Xenopus tropicalis: one gene and its partners. The protein of the gene in region 1 interacts with the protein of each later gene in a pairwise test. Links are inferred from orthologs where the notes say so. Each region holds a gene or a part of one and is shown in the gene's direction. Other genes may lie near its edges.

What was found.
Region 2: the proteins of fam131c (region 1) and hpcal4 interact in binary tests that used the Homo sapiens proteins (3 or more experiments, as listed by UniProt). The two-hybrid records come from large-scale screens. The link is inferred for Xenopus tropicalis from reciprocal best matches to the Homo sapiens genes FAM131C and HPCAL4.
Region 3: the proteins of fam131c (region 1) and vsnl1 interact in binary tests that used the Homo sapiens proteins (3 or more experiments, as listed by UniProt). The two-hybrid records come from large-scale screens. The link is inferred for Xenopus tropicalis from reciprocal best matches to the Homo sapiens genes FAM131C and VSNL1.

What each region holds. Positions count from the first base shown.
Region 1 is NC_030683.2:131,465,621-131,469,707, forward strand, and holds the start of fam131c (protein FAM131C), read left to right. Parts: upstream 1-1,140; 5' UTR 1,141-1,554; coding exon 1,555-1,603; intron 1,604-4,087.
Region 2 is NC_030678.2:90,987,974-90,991,626, forward strand, and holds part of hpcal4 (hippocalcin-like protein 4), read left to right. Parts: intron 1-734; coding exon 735-950; intron 951-3,653. UniProt on the Homo sapiens protein: May be involved in the calcium-dependent regulation of rhodopsin phosphorylation.
Region 3 is NC_030681.2:141,644,621-141,648,273, forward strand, and holds part of vsnl1 (visinin-like protein 1), read left to right. Parts: intron 1-1,831; coding exon of another isoform or gene 1,832-1,838; coding exon 1,839-2,000; intron 2,001-3,653.

The sequences.
Region 1 (4,087 bases):
GTCACTGTGTCTGTCCCTTTCCCTTCCCTGCACTGCTGGTTCTGACTCCTGATACAACTCCCCAATACCCATTCATTCCTCATTCTCACTGGGTTTATAGTTATGTGTAACTGTCACTGTGTCTGTCCCTTTCCCTTCCCTGCACTGCTGGTTCCGACTCCTGATACAACTCCCCAATATCCATTCATTCCTCATTCTCACTGGGTTTATAGTTATGTGTAACTGTCACTGTGTCTGTCCCTTTCCCTTCCCTGCACTGCTGGTTCTGACTCCTGATACAACTCCCCAATACCCATTCATTCCTCATTCTCACTGGGTTTATAGTTATGTGTAACTGTCACTGTGTCTGTCCCTTTCCCTTCTCTGCACTGCTGGTTCTGACTCCTGATACAACTCCCCAATATCCATTCATTCCTCATTCTCACTGGGTTTATAGTTATGTGTAACTGTCACTGTGTCTGTCCCTTTCCCTTCCCTGCACTGCTGGTTCTGACTCCTGATACAACTCCCCAATATCCATTCATTCCTCATTCTCACTGGGTTTATAGTTATGTGTAACTGTCACTGTGTCTGTCCCTTTCCCTTCCCTGCACTGCTGGTTCTGACTCCTGATACAACTCCCCAATATCCATTCATCCCTCATTCTCACTGGGTTTATAGTTATGTGTAACTGTCACTGTGTCTGTCCCTTTCCCTTCCCTGCACTGCTGGTTCTGACTCCTGATACAACTCCCCAATATCCATTCATCCCTCATTCTCACTGGGTTTATAGTTATGTGTAACTGTCACTGTGTCTGTCCCTTTCCCTGCACTGCTGGTTCTGACTCCTGATACAACTCTTGGCCTTGCCCCCTTCACCCCACCCTTGCTGAGGAACAAAAGCCCAGAGTGGCAGAATCACAATTCCAGACTAAAGGGCACAATGACCCAAACTGAATAAAGGGAAAAGCCTCAGGTTGCCGGCCCCTGGCATACAGCTTGTGCCTGCCCCCCCGGCACAATCATACATGGAGGTGCCAAGCCTGTTGCTGGCAGAGTCCGAATCCAAAGCAACCCCCCAGCACTGACAGGGTTAATCCCCACCCACCCCATGGCAACAGCTGCTTCACCTACACGAATAAAAGGGAAAGCAAAGGGGCTCGTCAGCGAGACGTTGGCAGCTCCTGCGAGACACCTCCCAGAGACAGCAGGCAGAATGGGAAGGGGTGGTGACATCCAGCACAGACAGTCTGAGAGTCTCTGAGCAACAGCCGCATCCAACGTGACCACTCTCGTCCCCCCCTTCCCATTATTCCCAGTACAATCCAAACCCACAGACACGTATGCAGAGCCCCTCTCTCACCCCCACTCACTGCCCCTGCCATGTCTGTCTGCCACTCTGCCAACCACTGCCAGGGAACTCACACCTTGGGCTGCACGCTGCAGGGCTGGACTGCTGAGACCCCCAGTGGCACAGTGGGAATGGTGGGCAACAGAGAGTGTCGGGAAGGTCTGTAAAGGGGAAGCGAAACCAAACAGAGGCGCCAGGGGGGATCATTCTCTGGGAGGATTTGGATGGCACAGGGCTGCCTGCCCTTCGTTATGGGATCTTGCATCTCCAAAGGTAAGTCCTTATGTTCTCTAACTGGGGGTGAAACACGGTGCTGATGGGTCCAACTACCCTCGGTATAAAGCTAAAAATGGGGCAGATTTATAGGTGGCACCGTGGGCACGACTGGGCACTGACTGGCGCTGTCATTGTGGCCTGTGGGGGTAACAAGGGGGCACAAATATGGAATATAAGGACATGGCAAGGGTTACACCCAAGTTAAGAGGGTGCACAGGTGCCCAGTACCCACAGCCCCCCCAAACGTGATGGGTAAACTGCACGGCATGCTGGGAAAGAAGCTCAAGAACACTTTTGGGTCACACTGCCGGCACCGTCTGAGCCCCCCCGTGCCCCTGTCGGGGCAATATTGGGCACATACTGGGTGCCTAGATCCAGTTCCGCCCAGGGAAAGGGCAACACAATTATTGGGGTTCCAGCTCCACCGGTAAAGTTTTGCCCGACCCAGTTACACATGAGATGTTCCGACTGCTGCAACAAGTAGCACCGACTCCAAGGCAAAGGGGTTGGCACAGATTCCTTCCACTTAGGGAGGCGCTGCCGGTAGCCTGGGGGCTGTTGCTAAATATGTACCCTGGCACAGTGAGGATGGAGGTGCCCAGTGTGGCACAGACCTTGTTGCCATGGCAAGGGAACGGCGGCAGCGGCACAGCCAGACAAACACATCTTGTCCTTGTTTCCCATAGAAGTGAATGGCAGCTCCGTGACCTTCTCGTCTCTGTCACTTTAAATGAGCCCGGTTGGGCTGCCATGCCAAGCAGCGGGCTCAGTTCTTACCCCTAGGGAGGGCAGAGGGGGCATTTGGCAGAAGTACAAAGGTCATATTATATGGGACAGCAAGGGTTAAATATCCTCAGTGTATCAGATACCCCCATAACCCTATTTGGGGGGCATTTGGGGGTACTGGTGCCAGGCTGTTGGTGCCACCCTATAACATGGCACTGGTTCTACCCAGGTGTAAACATTGCAATGTGGGTGCCAGCACCCTGGCAGGGACGCAAAGGGATCATTTATAGGAATGATTGTGTCTTTTAGCCAATAGCACTGCTACCTGCTGGCAGCGACACGCCCACTGATGCCCTTTGCCCACCTGTGTCCTGGCGCAAGGGGCAAGTGTGACATGTGACCAAAGAGAAACCCTGAACAGGTAGATTCTAAAGTGGGTGGCATTAAAAGGGTTAAAGGAGATAATCGCTGTATAATGAGTTTTTTTTTATTTACTTTAATGGAATTAACGATAATTTGCAGTTGGTCGGTATTTCTGTTTCTTTCTCCTCAGCTCTCCAGCCTAGAAATTACCGTTTTATCTGGTTTCTAGGGTCACACTGACCCTAGCAACCAGGCGTTGGTTTAGATACCAACATTGCTGAGACAGAAGACCCAAAACCTATTCAACTGAATGAGAATAAAAAGCAAATAAATCACTAATGGTAAATAACAATATGGGCGGCACGGGGGTCAGTGGGGGCACGGGGGTCAGTGGGGGCACGGGGGTCAGTGGGGGCACTGGGATCCTGGGTTGATTCCGCCCAGGGCACTGTCTGCGAGGAGTTTGTATGTTCTTCCCGTGTCTGTGTGTATGTTCCGCCCACACGTCAAGAACAAACAGGCAGGTTCATTGGCTCCCCATAAAAATTTTCTCTCTGTGCATGAATGTGATAGGGCCCTTAGATTGTAAGCTCACTGGGGCAGGGACTGATGGGAATGGGATAGGGCCCTTAGAGTGTAAGCTCACTGGGGCAGGGACTGATGGGAATGGGATAGGGGCCTTAGATTGTAAGCTCACTGGGGCAGGGGCTGATGGGAATGGGATAGGGACCTTAGATTGTAAGCTCACTGGGGCAGGGACTGATGGGAATGGGATAGGGCCCTTAGAGTGTAAGCTCACTGGGGCAGGGACTGATGGGAATGTGATAGGGCCCTTAGAGTGTAAGCTCACTGGGGCAGGGACTGATGGGAATGGGATAGGGCCCTTAGAGTGTAAGCTCACTGGGGCAGGGACTGATGGGAATGTGATAGGGACCTTAGATTGTAAGCACACTGGGGCAGGGACTGATGGGAATGGGATAGGGCCCTTAGAGTGTAAGCTCACTGGGGCAGGGACTGATGGGAATGTGATAGGGCCCTTAGAGTGTAAGCTCACTGGGGCAGGGACTGATGGGAATGGGATAGGGCCCTTAGAGTGTAAGCTCACTGGGGCAGGGACTGATGGGAATGTGATAGGGACCTTAGATTGTAAGCTCACTGGGGCAGGGGCTGATGGGAATGGGATAGGGGCCTTAGATTGTAAGCTCACTGGGGCAGGGGCTGATGGGAATGGGATAGGGACCTTAGATTGTAAGCTCACTGGGGCAGGGACTAATGGGAATGGGATAGGGACCTTAGATTGTAAGCTCACTGGGGCAGGGACTGATGGGAATGGGATAGGGACCTTAGATTGTAAGCTCACTGGGGCAGGGGCTGATGGGAATGTGATAGGGA
Region 2 (3,653 bases), on another chromosome or scaffold:
AAAATTCTGTGTTATCCATGCATCTAGAATAATTGAGGCCATCTAGAATAATTGTATGCCAATACAAGTAAAGTGTTGTTTTAATTTATGTTTCACCCAAGCAAATCATTCCTTGTTAAATCAGATATGCTACTGCCAACTGTCACTAGAGAATGCTACCCCCTTCTTGTGTGCCCATCCTTCAGTCCACTTGTTTATTTATAGCATAATGGTGAAGTCATGACAATGCATTACCAGTACACTTGCTTAGTTCTAAGAATAATACAGTAAGCATATAGTGCCATGGTGATAGTGAATTGTTTCTGGCTAGCAGCTGTTTCCCAGGGCCATCTCATACCCTGATGATTTAGCAATTAATAGGGATCCTGTATTGTAAAGCTACACGTGTAGTGGCAGTGGTAAAGGTGGCCAACATAGTGCAAACATAGATATGTGCTATCAGTCTGTATGACCATTACTCTGTGGGGCTACCACTTATTTATTCAAACAACCAGCATTCAGTATCAGAAAATGAGTATCCCAAATAAGCTCCTTGGCAGTGGGTCATTGCATCCTACCATTACAGTGCAATTGCAACAAATTGGCTGTGATGCAGGAAAGATTATTTCTTAATGATATAAGGCAAAAAGTAGCCCTATTTCCTATTTAGATAAGTGTTAGTTATTTTTTTTATATGTTTTTCTTTTCATAACAGATAATGTAATTCCCTCTCTTCCGTAAACTGTTCTTTTCAGTTCTTCCCATATGGCGATGCCTCTAAATTTGCTCAACATGCCTTCCGCACATTTGACAAGAATGGAGATGGAACAATTGATTTCCGGGAATTTATTTGTGCTTTAAGTGTCACCTCACGGGGAAGCTTTGAGCAGAAACTCAACTGGGCCTTTGAGATGTATGATCTGGATGGAGATGGCAAGATCACACGACTGGAGATGCTGGAAATAATAGAGGTATTATGAAATACCTTACAGGAGAGAGGGAGTTCAAATAGCATTCAGGAAGTTAGAACTGTAAGCCATAAGGAGATGAAAGGGAGTTGAGGAAGACAATAAGGGGCAGATAGAACAAAGAGGAAGAAAGTTTCAATGAAATCAATGTATGCTTATTACTTTTCTCCAGTATATTATTTGCATCACAGAAAATGCCACTTTTGAAAAATTTTCTGCCTCTGTAATTATAGATCTGTCTCTAGAAAAGTAGTATACCAGAAAGCTGACACTCCTTCAGTATCTAGTAACAGGGCTTCCATCATAGCCACGTCTGCCTGCACTTGGGTGGAGACAATGCTTCCAGGTGCAAGCAAAGTAGCAGGGTGGTGCCAGCGTAAGGGTTGATTCTTGGCCTACATTTTTCCACAGGCCAAGAATCAGCCCTGTTTAGCATTAGCCATTGTGCCTCCATGGCTTATAGCACTCATGGGCTTATAGCACTGCCTGTACTGTCCTAAATTTTAGTGGGTGGGTAAATAGGCAAAACTGTCTAAACTGTCTCCCAGTAATTTAGGGCAGCTTCAGGTTTTCTCTGACAGTTAAAATACACTGTGGAAAAACTGCCCTATGTGCTATTAGCCACAATTAGCTTGTACAGTAATGGGTATATAGATATATACACACAGCATGCACTCGTAAGTAATGGTACATTGGCTTCTATGAACAATAACTCCAGATCCTAAATACATTATACAGTAAGTGGCAGAAGCAGTGGTACATACCTAATGGTAGACTCAAGAATAGAAACCCTGTATTAGGGTGAAGACACACAGAGCTACTAGTAGCAGGTACTTTTCACAGCTACATGAGACAATGTTGATCATTTACTGATAACTGTCTCTATGTGTTTTAGCAAAGGTAATTCTCAGTATTGTCTATGGCAGGGTATTTTCTGGAGTTTAGTAGATGTGACAAGTAGCTGCTACTAAGCTGCTCTGTGTGTCTTCGCCCTTATGCAACTTGGGTCATATTTACAGTACATTGAGTAGAAGAAATAATAGATTATCTAAAAGCAGTTCTATTGTGACATGCTGGCTCTTTCTCAAAAGCTCAGAAAGCTCTTTCTAAAAGCTCATAATCAGCTGGCAGATTCTCCAAACTGCTGGTTTGGTCCTGCTTCTGAGGTCTCCTGTGTAATTCATGGGTAATGTCCTATAAGTTTAAACAGAGCTCTATGATTTCCAGCACAGATAAATAAAAATAAATGTGTTACTAGGATGTGCTAAACAAATTGCTCTTGAGGTTTTATAGTTACAAAATATAATTTGTTAATCCATACTAATAGCTCAGTTGTGGTTTGTGGGTATGGCTTTTAGGGGTGCATATATTTTTCAGTCAAAATAATTTGCTCAACTAGAATTCCTGTAGACAGCGTGTTATAAGCACAAAGAAAACCAAATATTGTGCTTGTCCTGATTCCCAGTAAGTCTGTACCATGTGACTTAAAAATGACTGAAGTATTTTAAGATGGTTTTGTGATTGCTTTCTTAACCCCAGTATAAAAGAGGCCTCTGCTGTGACTTTCTTCACCGATAATGAAAAGCCCCATGCTGCTAAAAATGTGTAGTTTCAGATATTCTGTATTACTATGTATTACCACGTAGATATCTAGAATGATGTTTTATAGGATGCACTCTGACGATAGTCTGGCCCAAAAATATATATATAATATAAAATATGACTTTATTATATATATATTGTGACATGCTGTCTGCCTGTACATGTAATTATGTAATTTTGGGGGGAAATTAGCTATGGTAGGCAGGTAAGAAGAGGATCAGGAGCATAGTGGCAGGGACATCACTTCTTTTCACAAAAAAACACAGGTTTATTTCGGGCACCCTCCTCCCAACATAAATATCACCATCCCTCTCGCATTCATGAACACTCGGGCTACTCAATCAGCCCTGCTGTCTCTCCCCTCCTGGGATACCAGCTCACCAGCATCTGGCACACTTTGGCTTTTCACTAAGCCTTGTCGTTCCTGCACTCATACACATGTTCACGGTTCCCTCTGCTCCTTGCAGTGGCAGGCAGCACCCCCAGCTCCTTTGGGAGTACCTCACACAGTCAGGCAACCTTCCTGCCTTGCGCTGACCTCTGAGAGACCTTTCTCTAGGTGACCCTTCACTTATATTCAACACTTCTCTGGGTTCTCACTTGGTTAAGGCTCCCACCACTCCTTGCAGCGGCAGGCAGCACCCCCAGCCCCTCTGGGAGTTCCCCACACAGGCAGGCAGCCTTCCTGCTCTGTGCCCTGCTCTGAGACCTTTCACATGGTTACAGCTCCCTCTGCTCCTTGCAGTGGCAGGCAGCACCCCCAGCTCCTCTGGGAGTTCCTAAAACAGCCTTCCTGCCCTGTGCCCTGCTCTGAGAGTGAACCCCTCTCTGTGAGTCAACAACTCTGAGTCCCCCAACCCTCAACCTCTGTGTAACCACACAGCTCTTTTAACTGCTGCTCACCCGCAGCCTAATCATGCAGCTACCTACAGCTGGCCAACTGAAAATACTAAACGGAGTAAGGAATGAAGGACCTATCCTACTCACCCTCCATTTACTCCTTTCTCATCTATCCAGCTTTTTCTAAGCCACTGACATGAAATCAGCATTTTTCCTGGTACTAATTTTATCCCACCTTTAATACTGGTGGAAAATACACCAAAC
Region 3 (3,653 bases), on another chromosome or scaffold:
CCCTATTTATGCTGCCTACATTAATAAGTGCTGTGTTCATAAGGGAAAGTATCTGCTCTCTGGAGAGAATAGCCAGATGCCTGACACAAAGGCTCTGAATGAGCACTAAGGGGCACAATTCTGATGTAGCATTTGCATCCAGGGTCATAGTAAATGTAGTAAATGACCCATAACGTGTTCACCAAGGTACATCAGGCCAAAGTGGCTACATATGTTATCACTTCAGTTGTTTGGCGCTTTCATTTTGGATGGGGAGCATTATTTTGGGTCAACACATAGAGCATGTTAGTTTGATAAACCAAATGACAAAGTTGGGGTATTTAATTGCTCATGTGTCTATATCTGACCAATTTTTTGGCCAACCCATTCAATATGAGTTTGTGGTTGATGGCTTCCATCAGTGTATGTATGGGTTAATTGCTGGAAAGTCACATTAATGCAAGTTTGTGGCCCAATGGCACAAACTACAATTAATCAGCAAGTGCAATAAACTGTTTGATATTATGATTATCAAACCCACCGGCAGCCACCTTGAGTCTGAATCAAACATCTGCTGATGAATCAACTTGGCTTGAAAGGGAAAGTAATATCTCCTGCTAATAAAATAACAGATTAGCTTAATTAAAGAACAGCCAAGTGTAAATCATTAGGAAGGTGTGATCTGATAAATGCTGTTTGTCGTTGTTTAAATGCCAGAGTCATAGAGGGCTGAGTGCCAACCTTGAAAGAAATTGTGTTTAATGCAAGGTTCTTAGCAACCAAAATGTTGACATAATGATCTCAGATGGTCTGTAGATTGTAGAACAGTGAGTTGTACTGTAGGTGCCTCTGTCTCAGTTTAGTGCCAATATTTATGTTTTGTGAAAAATGTGTGTTGGGTGGGTAATATTTGAATGTGGTGTTTACAAGTATAAATGGAGTAAAATGATTAAGGCACATGTTACTTAGGTAATGTAGTTGCCTACACAACTGGTAACCTTGAAGCTACTTCATGCATAGAAATCCAAGCTTCCCTTTCCTGAGCATCCATTTAACTCTTGCCCTATGCAAGAGAGGCAGGTTTCCTACCTACCTTCACTCTGGTGTCCTTATGAATTGGCTCCCTATATTTTCCACATAGGTTGACCTCCACGTTTGGCTCTGGTGTCCCTATGAATTGACTCCCTATATTTTCCACATAGGTTGACCTCCATGTTTGGCTCTGGTGTCCCTATGAATTGGCTCCCTATATTTTCCACATAGGTTGACCTCCATGTTTGGCTCTGGTGTCCCTATGAATTGGCTCCCTATATTTTCCACATAGGTTGACCTCCATTCTTGGCTCTGGTGTCCCTATGAATTCACTCCCTATATTTTCCACATAGGTTGACCTTCATGCTTGGCTCTTGTGTCCCAATGATTTGGCTCCCTATATTTTCCACATAGGTTGACCTCCATGCTTGGCTCTGGTGTCCCTATGATTTGGCTCCCTATATTTTCCACATAGGTTGACCTCCATTCTTGGCTCTGGTGTCAATATGAATTCACTCCCTATATTTTCCACATAGGTTGACCTTCATGCTTGGCTCTGGTGTCCCTATGAATTGGCTCCCTATATTTTCCACATAGGTTGACCTCCATTCTTGGCTCTGGTGTCCATATGAATTCACTCCCTATATTTTCCACATAGGTTGACCTTCATGTTTGGCTCTGGTGTCCCTATGAATTGGCTCCCTATATTTTCCACCTAGGTTGAGTGGTGCCAGGTTGCAAGAAACATACACAGTTTTCCCAAATATGTCAACAATGTGTATATTACAAGAAATTTAAGAACACCTCTCTCTTTTTCTAGAAACAAAATGGGGAAACAGAACAGCAAACTTGCTCCTGAAGTAATGGAGGATCTTGTGAAGAGCACAGAGTTTAATGAGCACGAGCTGAAACAGTGGTACAAAGGGTTCTTGAAGGACTGTCCAAGTGGCCGGCTGAACCTGGATGAATTCCAGCAGCTCTATGTAAAGGTAAGGCCATCTTCTGCTTGTTCATGGGACGTTTTACTGCAGGTTACTTTTTTCACTACTAAGTGGGCTGTTACCATTGCTAACTGCATTATTTTCACTGTACAATATATTATATTTTATGTTACTCAATATTTATGTTTATTTTCCTTTATGGTAAAGGCGCATTGGCTGGTTTGGCACCGCCTTCTGAGCTACACCATGCCCTGTGTGCCATAGCCTCTATTTTGGTTTACAGGGAATGGTGGATGTTTATACACCAATCGCATGTGTAAATCATGTGAACATCCTTGTTGTTTTCATTAAACCCCAATATGTCTATATATTAACAGCCAATCCAAGCACTCCAAGGGGTTCTCTGTGCATCAAGCAAGGTTGGGGAGCAGATCTAGCTCCTGAGTCCTGACCTTCCCACCCTGTGCTGTGAAACACATTGCCAAGTAGTGCACAGAGACAAATGATGAAGGCAGGAAAATTAATAAACTTGTCCGTGAGCGGTAAATTGAATCCACTCTTCTGCAGCTCAATCCATATAATCTGAAGTGATTTAGGCCACTGACCCTCTTCTTTTTTGTTGCTCCTTATTTAAGTTCTTCATGACTAGCCTTTTATAAAGTCAAGTAAGGTCAGGCAGAAGAAGGTTATTCTTAATTTTTGTCTCTAGAATAGTGTGAATTTGTCGGCTGCCTTTGTGCCGCCTAAACAGTTGCATTACTTCAATAGCCGCCATGTCTGAGAGCAGTTGTCTTTCTATTGACAGAACATGAGTGCTATGGTATATTGGAAGCGTTTGTGTTCCCAGGAAATGTGTTCTACATGTGTTATTGGAACAGTTGTTTTAGAATAGTACCGGTACCAGTTGTCTTATAAGAACTGTTGTTGTCAATTGGCAACCGTTGTATTATCAAATCATGTGGTAGCCTTAGTCTTATCAGAACTGCTGTTCTTTATAGGCTCCCCTGTGACATCAGTTGTACCACATTGGTAGCACTTGTGTTATCTGAAGGCTGCTACATTGTGTTGATTGGTTGCATTGGTATTATTATAACACTATTTTTCAGATATGGCTCGGAGTCTCCAGTGCTTGACTCTTGAAAAAGCTCCACTTACTCTTTTAAATTGGAGCTGGCTTCTTAACACCTATTTTATCAGAGATGCCTATAAAAGTCTGCTTGCTCACCTCATCTTCTGTATCAGACTTCCTACTCTCAAAAAAATCCTACGGGGCATGGCACAAGCCTGCTTAGTTTGCTCCTCTCTCCCCCTCCCTTCTCTGCTATGTAATCTGAGTTTAGAGGCTCAGTGTGCAGGAACAGAAGTGAAATCAGACCAAGCTAAAATGGCAGCTGCTATCTTAAACAGAGGGGGCTTCTATGTCTGTTTTTTCAGGTAATGTTTTCTGCAGAATAAATATATCATTCTAGGTAGCATTAATGTGGTGAATCTATTGGCAATAAAATGCCAAAATGCCTTTCCTTCTTCTTTAAGGAAATGAAGCACAATGCTGGGGTGTTGGATTTTTGCCATTCTAGTTGTACACTTTATGAATGTATCCTTCTCCACATTAACATGCAGACAGAAGATATTAAAGGCCATTATAACAACCTCTATAGTGTAGGGACTGGATATGACTTCTCATGGTAGTGGCCATTATAA